Linked DNA regions of Rattus norvegicus. The protein of the gene in region 1 purifies or fractionates together with the protein of each later gene. This does not show direct contact. Links are inferred from orthologs where the notes say so. Each region holds a gene or a part of one and is shown in the gene's direction. Other genes may lie near its edges. The genes, in order: Spsb4 and Cul5.

Evidence for each region.
Region 2: the proteins of Spsb4 (region 1) and Cul5 purify together in Homo sapiens (co-immunoprecipitation; 4 studies listed by BioGRID and IntAct, counting the BioPlex papers as one, with this or other methods). This does not show direct contact. The link is inferred for Rattus norvegicus from reciprocal best matches to the Homo sapiens genes SPSB4 and CUL5.

What each region holds. Positions count from the first base shown.
Region 1 is NC_086026.1:106,484,012-106,494,498, reverse strand, and holds the start of Spsb4 (SPRY domain-containing SOCS box protein 4), read left to right. Parts: upstream 1-5,227; 5' UTR 5,228-5,782; intron 5,783-10,487. UniProt on the Homo sapiens protein: Substrate recognition component of a SCF-like ECS (Elongin BC-CUL2/5-SOCS-box protein) E3 ubiquitin-protein ligase complex which mediates the ubiquitination and subsequent proteasomal degradation of target proteins.
Region 2 is NC_086026.1:62,909,293-62,918,445, reverse strand, and holds the end of Cul5 (cullin-5), read left to right. Parts: intron 1-1,612; coding exon 1,613-1,736; intron 1,737-5,840; coding exon 5,841-6,035; 3' UTR 6,036-6,253; downstream 6,254-9,153. UniProt on the Homo sapiens protein: Core component of multiple cullin-5-RING E3 ubiquitin-protein ligase complexes (ECS complexes, also named CRL5 complexes), which mediate the ubiquitination and subsequent proteasomal degradation of target proteins.

The sequences.
Region 1 (10,487 bases):
CCAGGGTGACTAAGAGAAAAATATAGACCGTTGTACCTTTCGAGATTAACAAGAAAATGTAGGCTCGTTAGAAAAGCTATGAAGAGGGGTAAGAAACTTTGCCCTTGAAGTGCTCCTATCTTGGAGTGGGGGACAGGAAAAGCAGGGTCAAGGGTGGGAAAGACAGAAGACACACCGTGCAGAACATCTGTCAAGCCTGGGGTAAAGAAAGCTTCCCGAAAATGTGGTACACACAGGCTGAAATACAAGCTAGAGGTTCCTGGGGCAAATCAGCTTCAGGGAAAAGAGTTGGCAGGTGTCAAACCTAGTGTTGGGGAGAATGAGCTGGACACACTTCAGGGGTTCTGCGGCTGATTATGTCCTGCCCCAGGGCCAGATGGAAAGAGGTAAAATAAGAGGTGAATGGGCAGACCCAGACCCCACTAAGAAGTGTAAAAACCACCCAGTGAGTCATGGTAGTAGCCTTGAAGGATGTGTCGGATTAGTTTTCTTTTTCTGAAGACCTTCCAGACATCTGGTAGAGATGATGGCACCCAGGCTGACGAGAACAAGATCTAAATGTTGACACCCCCTCTCAGCCCGCCCTGAGTCATACTGTGCTGTAGGTCAGGTTGTGCAGTCTATTCCTGTTGAAGACAGGCAGCCCCAAATGCCCTTTCTCCTACCCTGCCACAAACCTCCTTCCAGCAAACTCTGCACTCTAAAATGCCACAGGACTCACGGATTTTCCTCAGCTGCCATAAAACCATGCTAAGTGCTTCTGCAAGACCAAGGAAACCATGTTGAATGTGTGATACCAAGGAAGACTCCAGAGTTTGACAGCTGACACCTAGGCAGTAGACAGCAAACCAAGACCTGAAGAAGCAGAGGCTGAAGAAGGCCAGTTCATGGTTCTCATGTGTCCACTTATCGCACTGTGCTGCATAAATCTGTGTGGATGAAACACCTAAAAGAGAGATTTAGACACAATCTTAAAGACCTTTGTGATGGTTTGTATATGCTTGGCCCGGGGAGTGGCACGATTAGGAGGTGCGACCTGGTTGGAGTAGATGTATCACTGTGGGTATGGGGTTAAGATCCTCACCGTAGCTGCTTGGAAGTCAGTCTTCCACTAGCAGCCTTCAAATGAAGATGAAGAACTCTCAGCTCCTCCTGTACCATGACTGCCTGGATGCTTCCTTGTTCAAGCCTTGATGATACTGGACTGAACCTCTGAACCTGTAAGCCAGCCCCAATTAAATGTTGCCCTTTATAAGACTTGCCTTGGTCATGGTGTCTGTTCACAGCAGTAAAACCCTAACTAAGACAACCTTCTACTTCAGGCATGAATCTTCCTTATTCCAAAATTCTAATGTTGTAGATTTTGGTCTCCTGATAAGCAGCATAAGAAAAAGACCGAATATCAACTTTGTGATATGCTACGACATAAAAACCACTCTCAGAAGAATATATTCTTTCCCATTGTGGTGGTTTGATTGAAAATGGTCCCAATAGGTTCATAGGGAGTGGCACTATTAGGAGATAAGGCCTTGTTGGAGTAGGTGTGGCTTTGTTGGAGGAAGTGGATTGCTAAGGGGTGGGCTTTGAGGTCTCAGATGCTCAAGCCAGGTCTAGTGTGCCGTTCACCTCCCACTGTCTGCTGATCTGCATGTAGCTGTCTCTCCAAATCATGTGGACCTGCATGTTGCCATGTTTCCCGCCATGACAATAATGGACTGAACTGTAAGCAAGCTGTAGTTAAATATTTCCCTTGATAAGAGTTGTTCTAGCATGGCATCTCTTCATAGTAATAGACATCAAATTAAGACACCCTGTTTTTCAAATGAGGAGGCTAAAAGCACACATGTCTAAACTGAGATTTTTAAACCTATAGCCAAGCAACAGCTATATGTCCATAAAATAGTGTGTGTTCTTTGGAGTGAGACCATACTGAGTTTATCAAGGATTTACTTTAGATCCACTCCTTGGCAGTTAAGAATATCTTGTATTAGTTATATGATGCTGATTAGCAAACAATCCCAAGATTCATAATTGTTTTCTCAGCATTTCCAGTCAAGAATCAGTGTGGCTTAGTTTGTGCCTCTGATTCAGTTGTCTTGAGTATAGTCAAGGCACCGAAAGGACCTCAGCCAGATAGGAAGGCTCAGTCAAGGAGGGATGTGCTACCTAGTTCAGTCCCATGGTGGCAGACCTCAGTCCCTCACCAAGTTTCCCCACACTACCTGGCTTCCTTTGTGGGGGCAAAAGCCAAAAGAGCAAAAGAGATGACATGTGCCCAGAGTTGCTGGCCTTTTCCTTATCCAATCGCAGAAGGAACAGCGTGTCTGTCCTACCGTGTTCTATTTGTGAACATCGAGACAGGGAGTCCAGCCTGCACTTCAGTGAAAGGAAGTCAGAATGTGGCAATCCAGGGACAAGGGTTATCAGAGATCAGTTTATAGGCTTCCAACTTCAGTTTAAAGATCAGGTTATCCAGGCTATTCCTCAAGTGGCAATTGTTTCTTCCTGTGTGGTTGTTTCCTCTGAATTGAAACATGCTCTCAGAGCGGGAGGAGAGAGGTTTACTAAGACTTTTTATTTTTTTAAACTAATACTCAGGAAGCTAATAAAACATAGAAGGCTTTCATAGAAGCTCATGAAAGTTACAAGATTCACAAGGCTCCTTCTCAAGCTTGTAAAAGCTGGGGTGTGGCGACTCCTCTGATTGCTAGCTGTGCAGGCACACAGATCAACTTGCCGTCCATGCTGGGGTGGGCTTTTTAGTGATGACTTTGTGCCTCCGACGCCAGTAAGTAACACCAATACATTTACTGGATCACCAAAGTAGGCTTGGGTGGGATAATTTCCCTGATCTGCCGTGGATACCTTATCTGGAATGAACAGACATTTGTCCACATTTCAAACATGGAGACATATCACACGCTATTCAGGGGGTGGAGGACTTGGGGAACTTTAGTGATACTTAGGGGTACTGTTGTACACATTTCTTGATACCTAAGGCAAGTCACATTTGTAAAGGCCTGTGGAGTGAACCTATCTGGCACACAGGTGTGTGTTTGGGGAAGTAGTTTCTCAAATTGTTGCGCCTGATCCTTCCTTGCCTTGTTCTTAAGCTATTGTGAGGTCCTTCCAGAAAGAAAGAAGAAATGCCCGTTGGCAGTTGTATTGGGATCCAGGTGGAGAAACCATCAGCTGCAGAGTCTTGGGTATTTATTTTAAGGTTTATTTTAAGTGTATGAGTGTTTTGCCTGCATGAATGTACGTGCACCATATACATGTCCGGGGCCAATGGACGTCAGAAGAAGGAGTCTGATCCCCTGGAACTGATTGATATTCTGGATAACTGTGAACTACCATGTGAGTGCTGGGAACTGAACCCTGGTCCTCTGCAGGAGCAGAAAGTACTGTTTGTTTGTTTGTTTGTTTGTTTGTTTGTTTGTTTGAGACAGGTTTTCTCTGGGTAGCCACGGCTGTATTGGAACTCACTCTGTAGACTAGGCTGGCCTTGAACTCAGAGATCTGACTGCCACTGCCTTCTGAGGGCTGGGGTTTAAAGGCGTGCATCACCACTACCCAGTTGAACTGAAAGTACTCTTAACCATCTGAGTCACCTCTCCAGTCCTTGCAAAGTCTTGCTTAAGTTCCCCTTTGCTCTGAGTTTTCCTCCGTCCTCATTTCTTGCTGTCCAGCTCTGTCAGCACCACAGCCGAGGTCAGAGCACGTACTCCAGAAGCGTCCTGAGGAGGGAGGGGACTCGAGGGGAACAAGGAAATATGTGCATGGGTCACATCACATTCTTTTAACTGTGCAGTCCCAAGGACAGAGACACACAGGTACAAAGAGACAGACATGCAGACACAGATGAAGTAGCACAAATCGCGAGCGCTGTAAATACTTGCTCAGGATACCCCTTTGCCACACCACTGAGCTGTCCTAATTGGCAAAGCATCGTTTACGTCTTGGACTTCTGAGGCAGCTTCCAAGCTGTCCTGTGCTATTCATCCATCTATCCACACCGCCACCGGATTATCTTTCTGGACAGCAAATCTGTGAAGGTCAAGAGGCCTGCCAAACTGATCTTGGGGAAAAGCCAAGCCTTTGGAGGCTCTCCAAGACCCTAAGTACCCACTCTCGTTTCATCTTACCTCTTGTTTTGACTCCAGTCGTACCACAGGCTGTTACCATGAGACTATGATGCCTCTGCGTCTAGCAGCTACTTCATGCAGACACTTCCAAATCGCCCTCCACAGTCTGGGAGAGGAACTCCGGAACCTGGGTCAACACATTTCCCTCACAGGGTTGAATTACAGGTGCTTGTCTTCTGTGTCCATGAAAAAAAAAAAGGACATTTTCTGAGAAGTGAGGTCAGTTAAGACTATGGAATGGACCTAATGTCAACTCTGGCATCGAAAGCAAGATGCACTGACCTGGAAACTTCGTTTTCCCCAAGGAAGCCTAAGTGGAGAGATACAGAGCATCCCTCGCTCTGGCCACACCCTCTTATCTCTATGTTCTGGCTAACGAGGGAGCCGCCCACCATCAGCGCCAGTAGCCCTCTGAGCAATGAATCTTCTCTCTGGCCTCAGGTGGGCGGGGAAAGGCACTGTGGAGCAGGTGCTGCGTGAAATTGGATTCTGAAAGATGAGTTGGAGTCTGGTCTCAGAAATAAAGTGCGGACATGTGTGTGCCTAAGGCAAGGGGTTATATTAAAGCATTCTCTTTCCCAGTCGCTGTTTCCCGCAGGCCTTGAATACAGGCACCAAAGCTATCTGGCAACCGTGATGTCTGCTCTCTTCATCCCCGCCCCCAGGGACACCCACCATGGCTCTCCAGGCACGCTTGAATGAATGGGGGAGGACCCGTGCGCATGAATGAGCGCGTGTGTGAGCGAGTGTCTAGGCCAGCCAGCCGGCAGATGAGTGAATGGCGTCCGCGCCACTTCGGCCCAGGGGCCCGGGCGCGGGTTCCACTTCCCTTTCCCGCCAGCTGGTGGCCTCCTGAAGGTGGCAGAGCCGAGAGCCGCCCGAGCTGGGACGGCCCGGGCGCGGGATGGTGGGGGAAGGGGCGTTCCCGGCGGCCGCGCCTTCCGCGGCTATTGGATTAGTGGCCTTCAGGGATGAGCTCAGCCGGATCGGCTTTCAGCTGCAGCCTCCGGGCCGGCCGGGAAGGCGGGGAGCGAGCGGCCGTGTAGGAGGTGGGGGAGGCGGCGGCTGCAGCATCCAGAGCTGGCCCTGGCGGTCGGCGCGCCCCGCGCACAAAGGCGCCCAGCCCCTGGGGAAGGCAATGAGCGCACAGCAGCCCGGGCCCTGGCCACCGCTGCAGCCCTCCAGGCGTGTGCTCGGTGCTCTGGGGAAGAAACCGGGTGCTCCGGGGACGAGCGGCCGAGGTGAGGCCCGAGTGCCCTGAGTGCGAGATTCGTCGCCCTCCAGGTCAGGCGCCAAGCTTTAGGGCCACCAGGGCAAGGGCTTCCGCGCCCCTCTGAGATCAGCGTAGTCGGGCACTTCACCACTCGGGACTGGACCTCGGCGGCCACTCGCCTCTCCTGAGCGTCAACTTCTCCAAGAACGTCCCTAACTCCAGGGCACCCTGCGGAGAGAGAGGGCGCTGCCGCCGGGTACAACTGAGAGGACGCGTCGCTGACTGAGAAGCAGCAGCCAGCATCCGCGGGGTCGCTCGGGCGCCCCTGAGTGGGCGGCAGTGGCAGCAGACCTCTCTCCCGGGAGTCCCGGACCTGCCAGCGCTGGGGATTCCTCCCAGGCGGGCGCTCGTCTTCTCTTTTATGGTAAGTGCTCTCCAGCTCCTGCTAAGGGGTGATCACACGCCGGTACGGGTCACACCGGTGCTCTTGGGGACTCAATGGTCCGGGTCGGTGGAAATGTCTCCGCGAATTGTGGCAATCCTAGCTGGTTGGTTTGCGCCTAGCTTCGGGCGTTGCACTGAGCCCAGCCTCTGGTACTGTAGGTTTGAAATCGCTGCTCTCGGTGTAGTGGAGACCACACACACACACACACACACACACACACACACACACACACACTGAGCGCAGACTCACCGGATTATGTTCCGGTCGTACATCCGTCACTCTCCGGGGTGACCTTAGGCCAGGCACCGCAACCTCGGTTTCCTCATCCGTAGGATGGGGATGATAATTGAATCCTTTATACTAGAGTGTTGGAGGGAACTGCTGGGTTGGTGCGGAGACCTGCGCCTGGCATTCAGAAAGCACTTAGGCACTAACTAGCGTTAATCTTAGCTTTTTGAGTCTAAGCACATCACCCAGTTTCCCAGAGCTGCCTCATCTGTGTGGCGAGGACAGTAATTTCTAGGGGTCTGCTGGTCTGTGGCTTTTGGAGCGTTGGGAGTAAAGCGCCGAGCAATCAGCAGGCGCTGGTGATGATTGTTATGGTTCACCTCCGACGCTGGAGTAGGGAAGACTGATTGCCCAGTCCGGGAGCCGCTCGCGGACGGTCCCCAGCCTGGCTGCGGGACAAACTTGGAAAGAATGGGTGGCTCAGGGGCTCTGGGAAACAGGAAGGAAGCCAAAGCCCTAAGTGCGGCAAATAAGTCCACTTCTGTTGAGCCGGGAAAAACAAGGGACCCCAAACCCCTGGCTGGAAAGGCCCAGGAAGTGTGATTCCCACCGCCCGGTGGCCAAGCGAGGGCTGCTGAGTCAAGAAGAGAGAAGAGGGCACGTTTGTGTGGCTCTCTCTCTGGAACTTTCAGTCCTGCAGTTCCGGGCTTGGATTCGAATTCGGCTTTCAGCACTATCCCGCGGTGTGACCTTGAGCAGTTCTTCTAAGGTCTGCTGCTCTTCTGTGCTTCCCCTCCCCCTCCCCCTTCTTCCCCCTCTCCTCGCTCCTCTCCCTCCCCCTACTCCGCGATTTGGGTGTGAACGCCTCTTATCCTTCCATTCATCTGTCTCAAACAGTTTAGAGTCTATCTAGATCTAGAAGAGATGCCACGGATTATGGGAAGGTTCACTCTCCCACTGTGCCCTGTGGAAAGCGACTAGCGCCTGAGGCTTCAGATCTGTTTCCTCGCTTTGACACCTCGGTCTTTAAACTACAAGTTTCTATTACTCAGGATGATGGAGGATCCTTCAAACTCTCCCCTCCGCTAGCTCTCCCAAACCATTCAATATTGGTTTAGGGTTTATTGGTTTAAACCCTCCTTGTAGAACAGCAAAATGTCACAAGTGTGGTATAGACATCCTTTACACGGGCAGCCGCAGTTTTTGAGACACACGCACGCACACACCCTGATTCCATGTTTCAGATTTCCACAGCAAAGGTGGTAAAGAGAATTTAAGCCACTTTTGGCAAGCTGCGACCAAAATAGACTCACCAGCCATGCCATGCAAATATCTCTTCAGTTTTCATTTCTCTTCGATTTTAAAGAATCAGTGCCATAGCAATACAATCTGCAAGGAAAAAAAAAACTTGCCAGAAGCAGTCAGGTAAATCTGGGGGGGGATGCTGCCATGGTTTCATAGCTTCCAATTTGGAACAGATTGGGGGGGGGGGTGCCGGGAGTGGAACCCAGGACTTTGTGCATGCTAGACAGGCACTCCACCCCCGAGCTCTAGCCTCAGTCTAAACTGTGTAAAGAATCAAGACAAGGAGGAGCCCCTAAGGACAAAGACTACAGACAATTCACACAGAGAGAGTGGAACAGAGATAACACGAAAACCTAGTGCCTTACCACACTCAATAAGAAAAATGTGTGTTGAAGCCGTAAGTAAGATTCCATTTTTCAGACATCAGATCAGCAATAGTAATAGCCAGTTCACCAGCAAGGAGCGCTTATCCTCAAAACTGTAAATAGACCAAATTCCTCTCTAGCTAGAACTTCCTCAAGACCTCTAGGAGTAAAGGCAGGGTATGCCCTCTAGGCCTGGCTACCACCGATACCATCTTCTCTGTCACTTTTCCCTTCCCCACCCCTGAAACCCTGGCCTAAGATCTTGGTTTTGCTCCAACACTCCAGGGCTTGTTCCTTTCCTGATTTCCACTCCTACCCCCAGTTGGTTATAGGACGGCAGCCTTGTCATCCTTCAGGGATGTCCCAGGATGTGGCTAGGCTCAGGCCCCAGGCAAGGTCTTTGCCCTTTGAGGGAAAGGCCCAGTGCAGCACCCCATGCCCCGGTTTGTTAATTTTTTGCTAAGCCAACTGGCTCACTGCCACACATCGGTGCTCCTGAGAGGGCCCTCCTCTGTTGGCACGGTAACAAAAGATCTCCAGGAGCTCCCTAGATAGAACAAGAAACTGGATGTGGAAAATCAGGAGGTTCGAGGGACTTAGCTGGCTAGGTCCATTAGAAGTCTTTCCTGGTAATCATTTTTTTTTAAAGTACTTATGTGTGCACTTAACTTGTGTGAACACGATCACTCATACTTGGCAAAAAGATCAATAAGAAAAAATTAAAAATCTAGCAGCGCATTTAAATAAAACATGGCCCCTCCGTGAGGGGCTGGCTTTCTTTCCTGCTGCTGCTCAGACAGACCCAGGGATCTGCTCAGAAGCTGCAGAACGCAGCAGTGTGGCCCATCCTTTGGGAAAGACCCCAGCTGAGCCGTCGTAAACTTTGTGGAGTGTTGATTGCTCAGGATTCTTGCTTCACACGTTGAATTTGGAACTTAATCCATGCTTCAAATGTGCACTTCAGTTGTGGGGGGAAAAAAAACACTTGATGGTAAAAACACAAATTATTCAGTCCAACAAGCATTTTTTTTTTGAGATGGCTCTCAACTTGCAGCCCATGCTGAACTAGAACTCACAGTGTAGCCCAGGCTGGCCCTAAACTCTGAATCCTCCAGGCCCTCTTCCCAAGTGTTAGGATTGGAGTACCTGGTTCTGGCAAATACCTTGCTGCAGACAGGTAGTGTGTACATGGCTTAGAAGATGGGGGCAATTAGCTGGGCACTGGCTCGCCTTCTAGGAATAGCACATGATGCAGGGGGTGTCAGCGGGACTAGACGTTTAGGATAACATCTTGGGATGGAGAGATGGAGGAGGATGCTGTGGTGGGCACAGGAGTGAGGGAATGTAGGCAGTGAAGGTCAGCAGGTTCCAGATGCTTGTGGTAGGAAGCGGTACGCTGACTTGAGAGTTTGGCATCCTGGTTAGAGAAAGGCTACAAGGAGAGGTTGACTGTGACACCCTTGGGTGTCAGCTCAAAGGGTGCATGCTTGAATGAGCAGGTGACAGGCGGCTTGATGGGGTTTAGCCTTTTGGTGGCAAGGCGGGGTGGGTTAGAGAATCACAGGCCCTCACTCAGAGCCTGCTTTAGTAATCCTGTCAGGTAGTGGTTCTCAACCTTCCTAATTCTGCTTTAGGATCTTAAATACAGCTCCTCGTATTGTGGTGACTTCCAACCATACAGTTATTTGAGTTGCTACCTCATTACTGTAATTTTTCGACTGTTATGAATCATAATGATATCTGATAGGAAGGATTGAGAGGTCATGATGCACAGGTTGAGAACCACCGTGCTAAGGTGTAAACCGAGAGGAAGTAAAAAAGTTATTGGTTCGGAGCCATAGATGGGAACCTGGGTTATGGGCAATGGAAGAAGCAGAGCCCATCCCCAAGACACACGATTCTCAAGTTCTAGTGGACCCCAGATGTGCCAATGTGCAGCACTGAGAAGGTAGACAAGAGCTCAGGAGGAAGCTCAGGATGGAAAGGAAACACTACAAAGTCATTTAAGGAGCATCTAGAGTGACCAGAGTCTACTTGAGGGAGGGCAGGCCGGACTGGAGACGTCCTTAGAGCGCTGGAAGGGCAAATTTTAAGAAAGGATACACAGAGAGGAAGAGGCAGAGCCCAGGCAGAGCTGCCTTGTGGGGCTGTACTTGTAGTGCCGGCAGGAAAGTTGGTGTAGACACTCCACTTCCCGAGTGCAGAGTGGCGCCCGCAGCGTCTATCTGGGTTGTGATCTGGAGAACTGAGTTTATGGTGAGCCACAATCTCTGCCTTTTCCAGACATGAGTGAGCTTGGCCCAGTTCGCTGGCCTATAAAGACATCCCACTGTGAGCCACGGTCTGTAAATGAGGGAGTGATTGAGCCCTCAGGATGAAAACACTTCTCCTCGAATGTGGGGCCCCCTCCCCACTCTGCCTGCATCTTCCTTTCTTCTCTTCCCTCTTTCCAAATCTAGTATTCAACACACACCCGCAAAGATGCCTCAAGTTTACCAGAGGTGTTCATGAGTCCCCATTGCAGTCCTCTGGATTAGCCATGTGCTTTTCTTCCAGGAAACCTGTTTTCAAACAAGCCGTTACATCCAGGGAGTTACACTCATCTTGGGAGATAAAGGACAGATTGGACATGCAGACTAGTGGGTTCTTTTAGTAGACATTTTCTTCGAGGGTCTCACTGGCAGTACCCTCCTCAGATTGTTTTGCCATACTTTTTTGCCTCAGCTTGAACCAATGCTGGGCCTCACAGGGGACAGCTATCCTACAAAGAAACAAGCCACAGGCAC
Region 2 (9,153 bases), about 44 Mb from region 1:
GTTTGCTTGGAAAACCTTTTTCCAGCCTTTTACTCTGAGGTCGTGTCTGTCTTGTCAGTGAGGTGCATATCCAGTCTGTTAGTCTATGTCTTTTTATTGGGGAATTGAGTCCATTGATGTTAAGAGATATTAAGTAATAGTGATTGTTTTTTCCTATTATTTTTGTTGTTAGAGGTGAAATCATGTTTGTGTGTCTCTCTTCTTTTGGGTTCGTTGCAAGGAGATCACTTTCTTGCTTTTTCTAGGGCAGAGTTTCCCTCCTTGTGTTGGAGTTTTCCATCTGTTACCCTTTGTAGGGCTGGATTTGTGGAAGGATATTGTGTAAATTTGATTTTGTCATGGAGTATCTTGGTTTCTCCATCTATGGTAATTGAGAGTTTTGCTGGATACAGTAGCCTGGGCTGGTCTTTCTGTTCTGTTAGGGTCTGTATGACATCTGCCCAGGATCTTCTGGCTTTTGTAGTCTCTGGTGAGAAGTCTGATGTCATTCTGATAGATCTGCCTTTATATGTTACTTCACCTTTTTCCCTTGCTGCTTTCAATATTCTTTCTTTGTTTTGTGCATTTGGTGTTTTGACTATTATGTGACGGGAGGAGTTTCTTTTCTGGTCCAATCTGTTTGGAGTTCTGTAGGCTTCTTTATGCTGGTGTGTTGGGATATTCAGTGTTTGCTGTGGTGGGAGAGCTGGTTTGTGATGATGCCAGGTAGTCTCGGTTTCTGTTGCTTGGGTTTTCTGTGCTTGCCTCTTGCTATCTGGTTATCTCTGCTGTTAACTGGAGCTTGTCCTTCCTGTGGGCCTGTGAGCCTTTGAGCATGTGAGTCTGTAATCTTAGGAGTGAGAGCACTCCATGGAGACCAGCTGTCTTTGGGCATTTTTGGGTGTGGAGGGCTATGGGACAGCCTTATCTCTGGGCACAGATGAAGACCAGAAGGGTCCTATGGCAGGCCGCCCCGTTGCTCCCATGTCCTGTTTGCTCCCGGTGAGTCTCTCTGTGGATAGCTAGTAGAAAAGAAAGTGGAGTCCCACCTGTGGGCATAGGAGTGCAAGCGCTCATGGCAGACCAGGTGTCTCTGGGCTGGTTTTGGGTCTGAGGGCTGTGAGACAGCCCCAGCTCTAGGCACAGATGGAGACATGCCATTTTATTTTTTAATTGAAAGTAAAGACCAAAAGAGAGAGGGAGTGGGTAAAACAGCTTTATGTAGGCAGAGCTGTTTATCTGAAGATTCAATCAGATAATGCTGTATAAAACCTTTTTGCTTTTGCTTTAATTATTATTCTCGTGGCAGTGAAATTAATGTTTTGAGGGATCTGGTCCCTAGTCATCAGAGGCTAGGTCTTGTTTGAAGGATCACATTTTTTTAAAAAAATTTTGTTTGCAACAGATAGCCTAGCCTCAAAGCAATCAAGATCCTTCTGGGCAGCTTCCCTCACTAGGATTGCAGGTGACTGTAGACCAGGGCCACCGTGATAGGCATAGGGACTGCTCAGAGTAAAGCTGCATGCTATCACTTCACTTTCCTACAGTTCTGAGTGATAATGTCTAACGATGCTTCTAAAACTTCAGACATTGTGCTGCAGTAAATGTTTAACATTTTTGATTTTTTTTGTAGAAAAAATGCAAAAGTACAGAAAAGGGGAAAAATCAATTTGATTGGACGCTTGCAGCTCACTACAGAACGGATGAGAGAAGAAGAAAATGAAGGAATAGTTCAACTAAGAATATTAAGAACCCAGGTTGGTATAGGGAGAAAAAATGTTCAACTTCCCTCTTTTTTTTTCAATTTTTATTACATTGGGTATTTCCAGTGTTAATTCCCTTTCCCGGTTTCCTGTCCTTCAGCCCCCAACCCCTCCCCTTTCCCTTCTATATGAGTGTTCCCCTCCTTATTCACCCCCCCTTACTGCCCTCCCCCCTGACATTCCCCTACACTGGGGGTCCAACCTTGCCTGGATCAAGGGCTTCCCCTTCCACTGGTGCCCTTACTAGGCTATTCTCTGCTACATATGCAGTTGGAGCCATGGGTCAGTCCAGGTATACTCTTTCGGTAGTGGTTTAGTCCCTGGAAGCTCTGGTTGGTTGGCATTGTTGTTCATATGGGGTCTTAAGCCCCTTCAGCTCTTTCAGTCCTTTTTCTAACTCCTCCAACAGGGATCCCATTCTCAGTTCAGTGGTTTGCTGCTAGCATTCGCCTCTGTATTTGACATGTTCTGGCTGTCATGTTCTCAGGAGACATCTATATCTGGTTCCTGTCAGCATGCACTTCTTTGCTTCATCCATCTTATCTAGTGTGGTGACTGTATATGTATGGGCCACATTTGGGGCAGGCTCTGAATGGCTGTTCCTTCTGTCTCTGCTCTAAACTTTGCCTCCCTATTCCCTCCTATGGATATTTTTGCTCCCCTTTTAAAGGAGTGAAGCATCCACCAAATTTTCTCTCTTGTTCTTTGTTCTTTGCTTCTCTGCTCTCTTCCCCTCTATTCCTGTCCCTTCTCTCTCCACCCCCCACCCCCTTCCCTCCACGTGTCCCATGGCCAACCTTTCCTCTCCTCTCCTCTCCTCTTCTCTCATTAAACTTCTCCACGTAGGGGGGAAAAAAAGAATGACCAAAATTTTCAAGCTTCTTTAAAAAGACAAAAACAAAAAAAACGAGTATTCAGAATGGGGCATAGTGACATTTTCTTTTTTTAAAGATTTATTTATTTATCATATACAAGTACACTGTAGCTCTCTTCAGATACACCAGAAGAGGGCATCAGATCCCATTACATATGGTTGTGAGCCACCATGTGGTTGCTGGGAATTGAACTCAGGACCTCTGGAAGAGCAGTCGGTGCTCTTAACCTCTGAGCCATCTCTCCAGCCCATGACATATTCTTTTAACCTCACTCTGTGGAATTTGAGGCAGACTGATCTCTGAGTTTAAGGCCTGACCTATAGAGGATTCGGGGCAGCCAGAGCTGTCTAGGGAGAGCCTGCCTCCAAAACACCAAACAAAACCCTTCCAACAGTGGATAAAAAACACGAAAGTCATTTATTCATAAATAAGAGCTAATGCTCATTTTATTAGTAATTAAAAATTAAATTAGTTAATTCTCTCTGCTACCAGAAATGCTCTTTTGGATTGGAGGTTTGTAATAAGTTCTGATGTATTGTTTGGATAAAACCTTGGTTTTTATTTATGTCTCTTTTTGATACCCTACTGAGTACATGTATCTCAGCCACAGCTGAGAACTTGCAGAACTGAAGTATTTAAAACTATATTGAATTCTGAAATGTAATGTGCCCTTAGGAAATGTTTTTTATTTAGAACTAAGAAACATTATCTGGTATATTTTCCTTTGAAAAATGTGTTAAAATTAGGATTATGATGGCTTCTGAACATGGTAAAAATATTTATTACTAGAAAGGTAAGGTGGCTCAGTTCGTAGATATTTGACAGCAAGCTGACAGCTTGCGCTGTCAGAAGGAGAGAGGCTCCTTAGCGAGGTCGTTCTCCTCGTCTCCACTACCCGGAAATGAATACAACATACAGGGAAACAGAGCTGGCGAGATCGTGCGGTAGGTGGTGTAATTGACAACCTGAGTTCAGTCCCAGCAGTTCACTTGATGTAAGGAAGAAACCGACTCAAGTCCACAGTTGTCTTCCAACCTTCGCATGTAGAAGAGAGCGAGAGGCGCTCTCCTATGGGCACATGTGCATGTGTACACAACAAACAAGTTCTTAAAACTTCTAATGAATTGCAAACTGATGGTTATTTTAATTAAAGAAAAAAAGTCTTTTAACAGGGCTGCTTTTTTGGTTGTACTTTTACAGTTTTTATTTAGTATTATTTGAAATTTTGGTGAATGCCATACAGTTTGAAGCACGAAGAAAGATTAAAAGTTTTCATGGTCCTACAATCTTCACATTCCTAGATGGACAGACTTACTGTTTTTGTTTTCCTTTATATTTTTGACATAAAGCCCTATTTATAATCTGATCAAAAGCCTGGTATCATTGGACAAGATGACTGACTCATCAGGTAACAGAAACCTGGTGATCTTAGTTTAATCCCAGAAGGCCATTTACAGATGTATAGAGTGAATTCCACGACAGCCAGGGCCACACAGAGAAACAAACCCTGCCTCAAGAATACCAACCAGCCAACCACCAGATGGAGAGAGAGCTGCTGTTAGAAAGCCTTCTGACTTCCACACTCCTGCTCTGGCGTGTGCTTGTAAACATGTAACATGTAATGATGTGCAATGATAACAGTTAAAAGCGTCTTGTAAAAACAATGTATGAAAGCTTGTAACTGGATGCATCGCAGATCATGTAGTATCAATGACAGACTGTCATGCCTGTACAGGAGAGCTGAAAAGTGGAAGGGATTTTACCCTGCTGAACCTGCGGGTTCCCGAGTGTGTTTGCATTGTTGCTGTCAGGTGTTAATACGTTGTCCACAGGAAAAAGTCCAAGGGTTTCCTGCACGTCCCAGAATCTCAGTGCTCACAGTTCTTGTATAGAATGTGTAGTGCCTGAATACGCCCCTACATATTTTATACCATATATTTAAGTAATCTCTAGGTCATCATAGCACCTAATACAGTATAAGTGCTGTGTGACTAGTCCCCATGCTCTGTGGTTTAAGTTTGTGTGCTTAATACAGACGCAGCTCTCATAAGCCTAATTACATTTTTGTGGTTGGTTGTTTTGTTGGTTTGGTTTCGTTTTTGAGACAGGGTTTCTCTGTGTAGCCCAGGTTGTCCTGGAACTCACTCTGTGGACTCAGATCTGACTGGGATTAAAGGCCACCATAATCAGCTCATGATTCTGCTGCTCAGTCAGTCTGTAGTGTGGAGCACACAGATACAGAGAACCAACTGCATCTCTTCTATTTCCTTTATACAAAATTGTAGTATCCACTGAGCCACCTTGTTGCCTAAGGGAAGCTAAACTTTAATAATGATTACAGGAAGTCTAGTTTTCAGGTAATGTCATTGCCAACTTCTATGTAGTTTAAAAATCACTAAGACCATATTGATAAAATTGACTTAGGTGGAATATGTTGATTTCTTTAGAAACATTTAAATGTCAGAAACATGAATTAAATCAATAGAAGTAAAGACAGGATCTGTGGTAAATATTGCTATCACTGTATTATTAGTCTAGTTAATATAGAGAGTAGTGTTTACAGATTTTTTTTTTTTTTTTTTTTGGTTCTTTTTTTCGAAGCTGGGGACCGAACCCAGGTGTTTACAGATTTTTAAGACTAGACATTCATGGTTCTCCTGTTATACAAAGAGACACCCTAATATTAGAGGCAAATTTGTGTAGGTGGAGTCCTGTGTCTTATTGCATTTATTTGTATGTGTGTGTGATCATATGTGTATGTATAAGTTAGAACACAACTTTTCAAGATTTGATACTATTTTTCCACTTTGTTGGTCCTAGGGGTTGAACTCAGGTCATCGTGCATTAAGATGGTGCAACAAGCACCTTTATCCACTGAGCTATGTTAACAGCACCCACAGATTTGCTCATGACTATTCCGCCTTTTCAGGCACCAGACATGTATGTGGTACAAAGTCATACAGGGAGTCAAGCATTCAAATGCATATTAATTTTTATAAAACAGTAGAGATTATAGGTTAATTTTGGCTTCCTTTACTTTCAAAATCTTTGTAATAAGTGCAAGGGGAAAAAAATTGTAGCTGCTGATTAAGTCTCCAGGTGAATAGCTAGGGGCCGTACAGTGTGGCTGGTGTTAGGAGATAACATAGGAAATGTTACTGATTTGCTTTGCTCAAACTAGTTGAATGTATTCATGTACTTTCCTTTTCCCTTTTCCTCTTAGGAAGCCATCATACAAATAATGAAAATGAGGAAGAAAATTAGCAATGCTCAGCTGCAGACTGAATTAGTAGAAATTTTGAAAAACATGTTCTTACCACAGAAGAAAATGATAAAAGAGCAAATCGAATGGCTGATCGAGCACAAGTACATCAGGAGGGATGAGGCCGACATCAACACCTTCATATACATGGCGTAGCTGAATCCAGCCTGCCGCAGCTACACATCTGGAGACCTGGGCAGAAGGTTGTCCCAGGCTGAGCTGGAGGAAGGTTTATTTGGACTTTGATTACATAAATATTAAACTCTGCCTTACCTTACAAAGCGACTATATTTTGCCAGTCACATTAGTCAGCATGATGGCAATCCCTTCATGTTGCACACTCTTTAACAGCATGCTGTTTTGTGGAGAAAATTGCATTCATGAAGAGCCCATTATGAACTTTCAAAGTCAATTCAATTTTTACCCACCCAGAGAAATAACATTTTGGAAGGGTGAGGGTGGGGTTCCTTTTGCTTCTTTTATCCCCCTTTCCTCTTTAAAGGAATATACTTACACAAGGAAGGATTTTCAGATACTCATGCACTGAGAAATGCTGGGGTTTTTTGTTGGTTTGTTATTTTTGGGTTTTTTTTTTTTTTTAATGCAATTAAAGCTAGAGGCAGCACTCAGCTTCTTTTGATGCAGAGTGAATTGTCAACACTGTTGGGCAAGGGCAGGCACACTTGAGAAGACAGTGTGCCAGTGTTGAGCTGTTTGTCAAACACTGCTTTCACTTTAGTGACTGGATCTTAATGGTAACGGAAACTGGTATTAAATATTTCTACCTTACAAATGCTGATTTTCACTGAGCAGGAGAGTGCTGTTTAGTCATTTGTTGTTAAACATGAAGATGTGGGATTTTCTTTTTAGACTTTGTATGGCTGGAGAGCTTGTTTTGAAAACATGAAGTTTATAGTCAATGTTGTTTCAGTTAAAAATTTATGGGTTTAGGTACATCACTGATTACAGAAATCAGAATCCCGAAGTAAACATGTTAAGTGTGTTACTAATACACTTAATACTTATACACCTAATATTTACTATACTGTACCTAAATTTGTTGAAAACAATGCAGAAATATTCTGATACAGTACAGTGAGAGAATTGCTTTCTTAACCTGTAGCATAGAATTATTTGGTGATTGAAAGTGTTGTGATTAGGAATTTACCACCTCAGTTTTCTGGAAAGACATTCTCTATTTAAAAGTAATAATTACCCGCCACTTAGCAGGAAGAAAGGTAAGATTACGACCTGCAACCTGCAAAGCACTCAAGAGTTGCTAGTCCTAACGTGAGCAGTAACCTTGCCAAATATGTACATATATATTTATATATTTTAAAAATAAACATTTTTAAAATGTTTAGAGGGCAACACCTACCTTGCTCCTCTCGTTAATCCAGAGCGGTGACTCAGGACCTCACAGACAGAGCAGTGGGAAGTTGGAAACTGAGGACTCAAGCAACTGAAGAGAATTATTCCCCAGCAGGAAAGATGGCTCCCTGTGGATTTTTACTCATTGTGGTGCACGTTTCAAGTTTTCTTGCAAATTTTAGAACTTTTGATGTTAAGTAGTATTTTGAAGTCTGGTTCTGAAGCTGACAGAACATGGAGTGTTGAGAAGCATACAGTAGAACACGAGTGTTGAAGCATACAGTAGAACACGGAGTGTTGAAGCATACAGTATTACATCACCACAGTGGGCTGTGGGTTCGCCTGCTGCTCAGCTTGGGAGCTCCTTGCTGGAAGGAAATAAAGTATATGTTAGATGTTTAAGGTTTTGATAATTATAGTCGAATATCTGTTCTGAAACTCATAGGAAGCTGGAGTGCATGTGTGCTTCCCGTCTGCCCTGCAGCTCTGAGGTGATGTGGAGCAGGAGTGAAGAGCAAACTCAGTGCTTGCTGCCGTACCGCGTGGATGATGGTACATCCAGATTCAGAGGGATAGTTTTATAACGACTGTGGCCCTTCTGTTTAATAGCTTGGTGTTGGCAAATTTTCCTCTCCCAATACCAGAATGCCAAAGGAAGAAACAATCAAGGGAAAAATTTTAGGCCATTTCTTAATGTTTAAGATTTGTCATTTTAAACCATAATTTTTCTTAGAACATCTTTGAAATTTCTAATCGCTTTGGTCATTTAAGAATGAGAGCTGCGATGTTTTGATTTATAAAGGCAAACTTAATGCAAAGTGGGTAACACTAAATCCATAGCAAAGTTTTTTATTAAATTTTTATAAATTTTTTAATAGTTAATTATGTCCTAATTGTATTTTGGGGAATGAGCAGCAGTAAATACCACAGACTTAACAGTTTTCATCCTTTTTTTAAAGTATATATATACAAAAGTGTAACTACGTTTTGGTGTTTATCAAAACTATTTAGTTGACAAGGTGCCTATACCATTGTTGAGATTTTCTTTAAATGTTTTATGAATAGATTTGAAAATTTTAAAAAATCCTGAAACAGATCTTACACAGCAAGAGTTTTCTGAAGGTCCAGAACCACTGACACAGTGTTCCCTATCTGATCTCTCTTCCCTGCAGACTTTATATTCTTGCTATCTGAGCAGGGCCAAACACGTCACAGGTGAGGGGAGGGAAAGCCCAGCTTCCCACTCAACACCAGAGAGGCATTTTTAAATGAATGATGTGGCTTGCTCAGAGGTTTGAGTACTTCTCTCTATCTTAGGTGGCACTGTCTGTAAATGCTAACCTGTCACCATCTCACAGCCATAGTAAGGAGACGGAACAAATTCGCCCAGTGGAAAGGATAGACTCATCGATGTGTACAGTTAGACAAACATGAGGCCCTCATTCTAATAATTTTATAAGAATCTTCAACTAAATTCTGAAGTCTCCCAATTTTTGCAGTTATTGGAGGAGATCCCTGAGTTTACCAGCCTGTTCATTGAAAGCTCTTACTCTGTGCACAAATATTAAAGTCACCAAAAAAGTGAACTGTTAATCATTCTTATTTTTTAAACTCCATTAGATTGACTGGTATCATTAGCTCTGCTGCAAGGGCACATTTTTCAATTCAATCTGGTGATATATTTGCTAAGTCTACAGAAAGTTTGCTGTCATAAACTCAAGCTGGCTCTTCTGTCTTTGTGTGAATGACTGGGATGCTGCCACAAGTTTTCCCAAGGTCACAGTTATGAGAGAAACATTGTTTGAGAGCGTTCCTGTCATCTACACTATGTGTGGTCTGGAGTTCCTGAGGTGTAGTCTCTCGTCCTGACCTGTACAGTTTTGAATGTGCACCACTCCATACT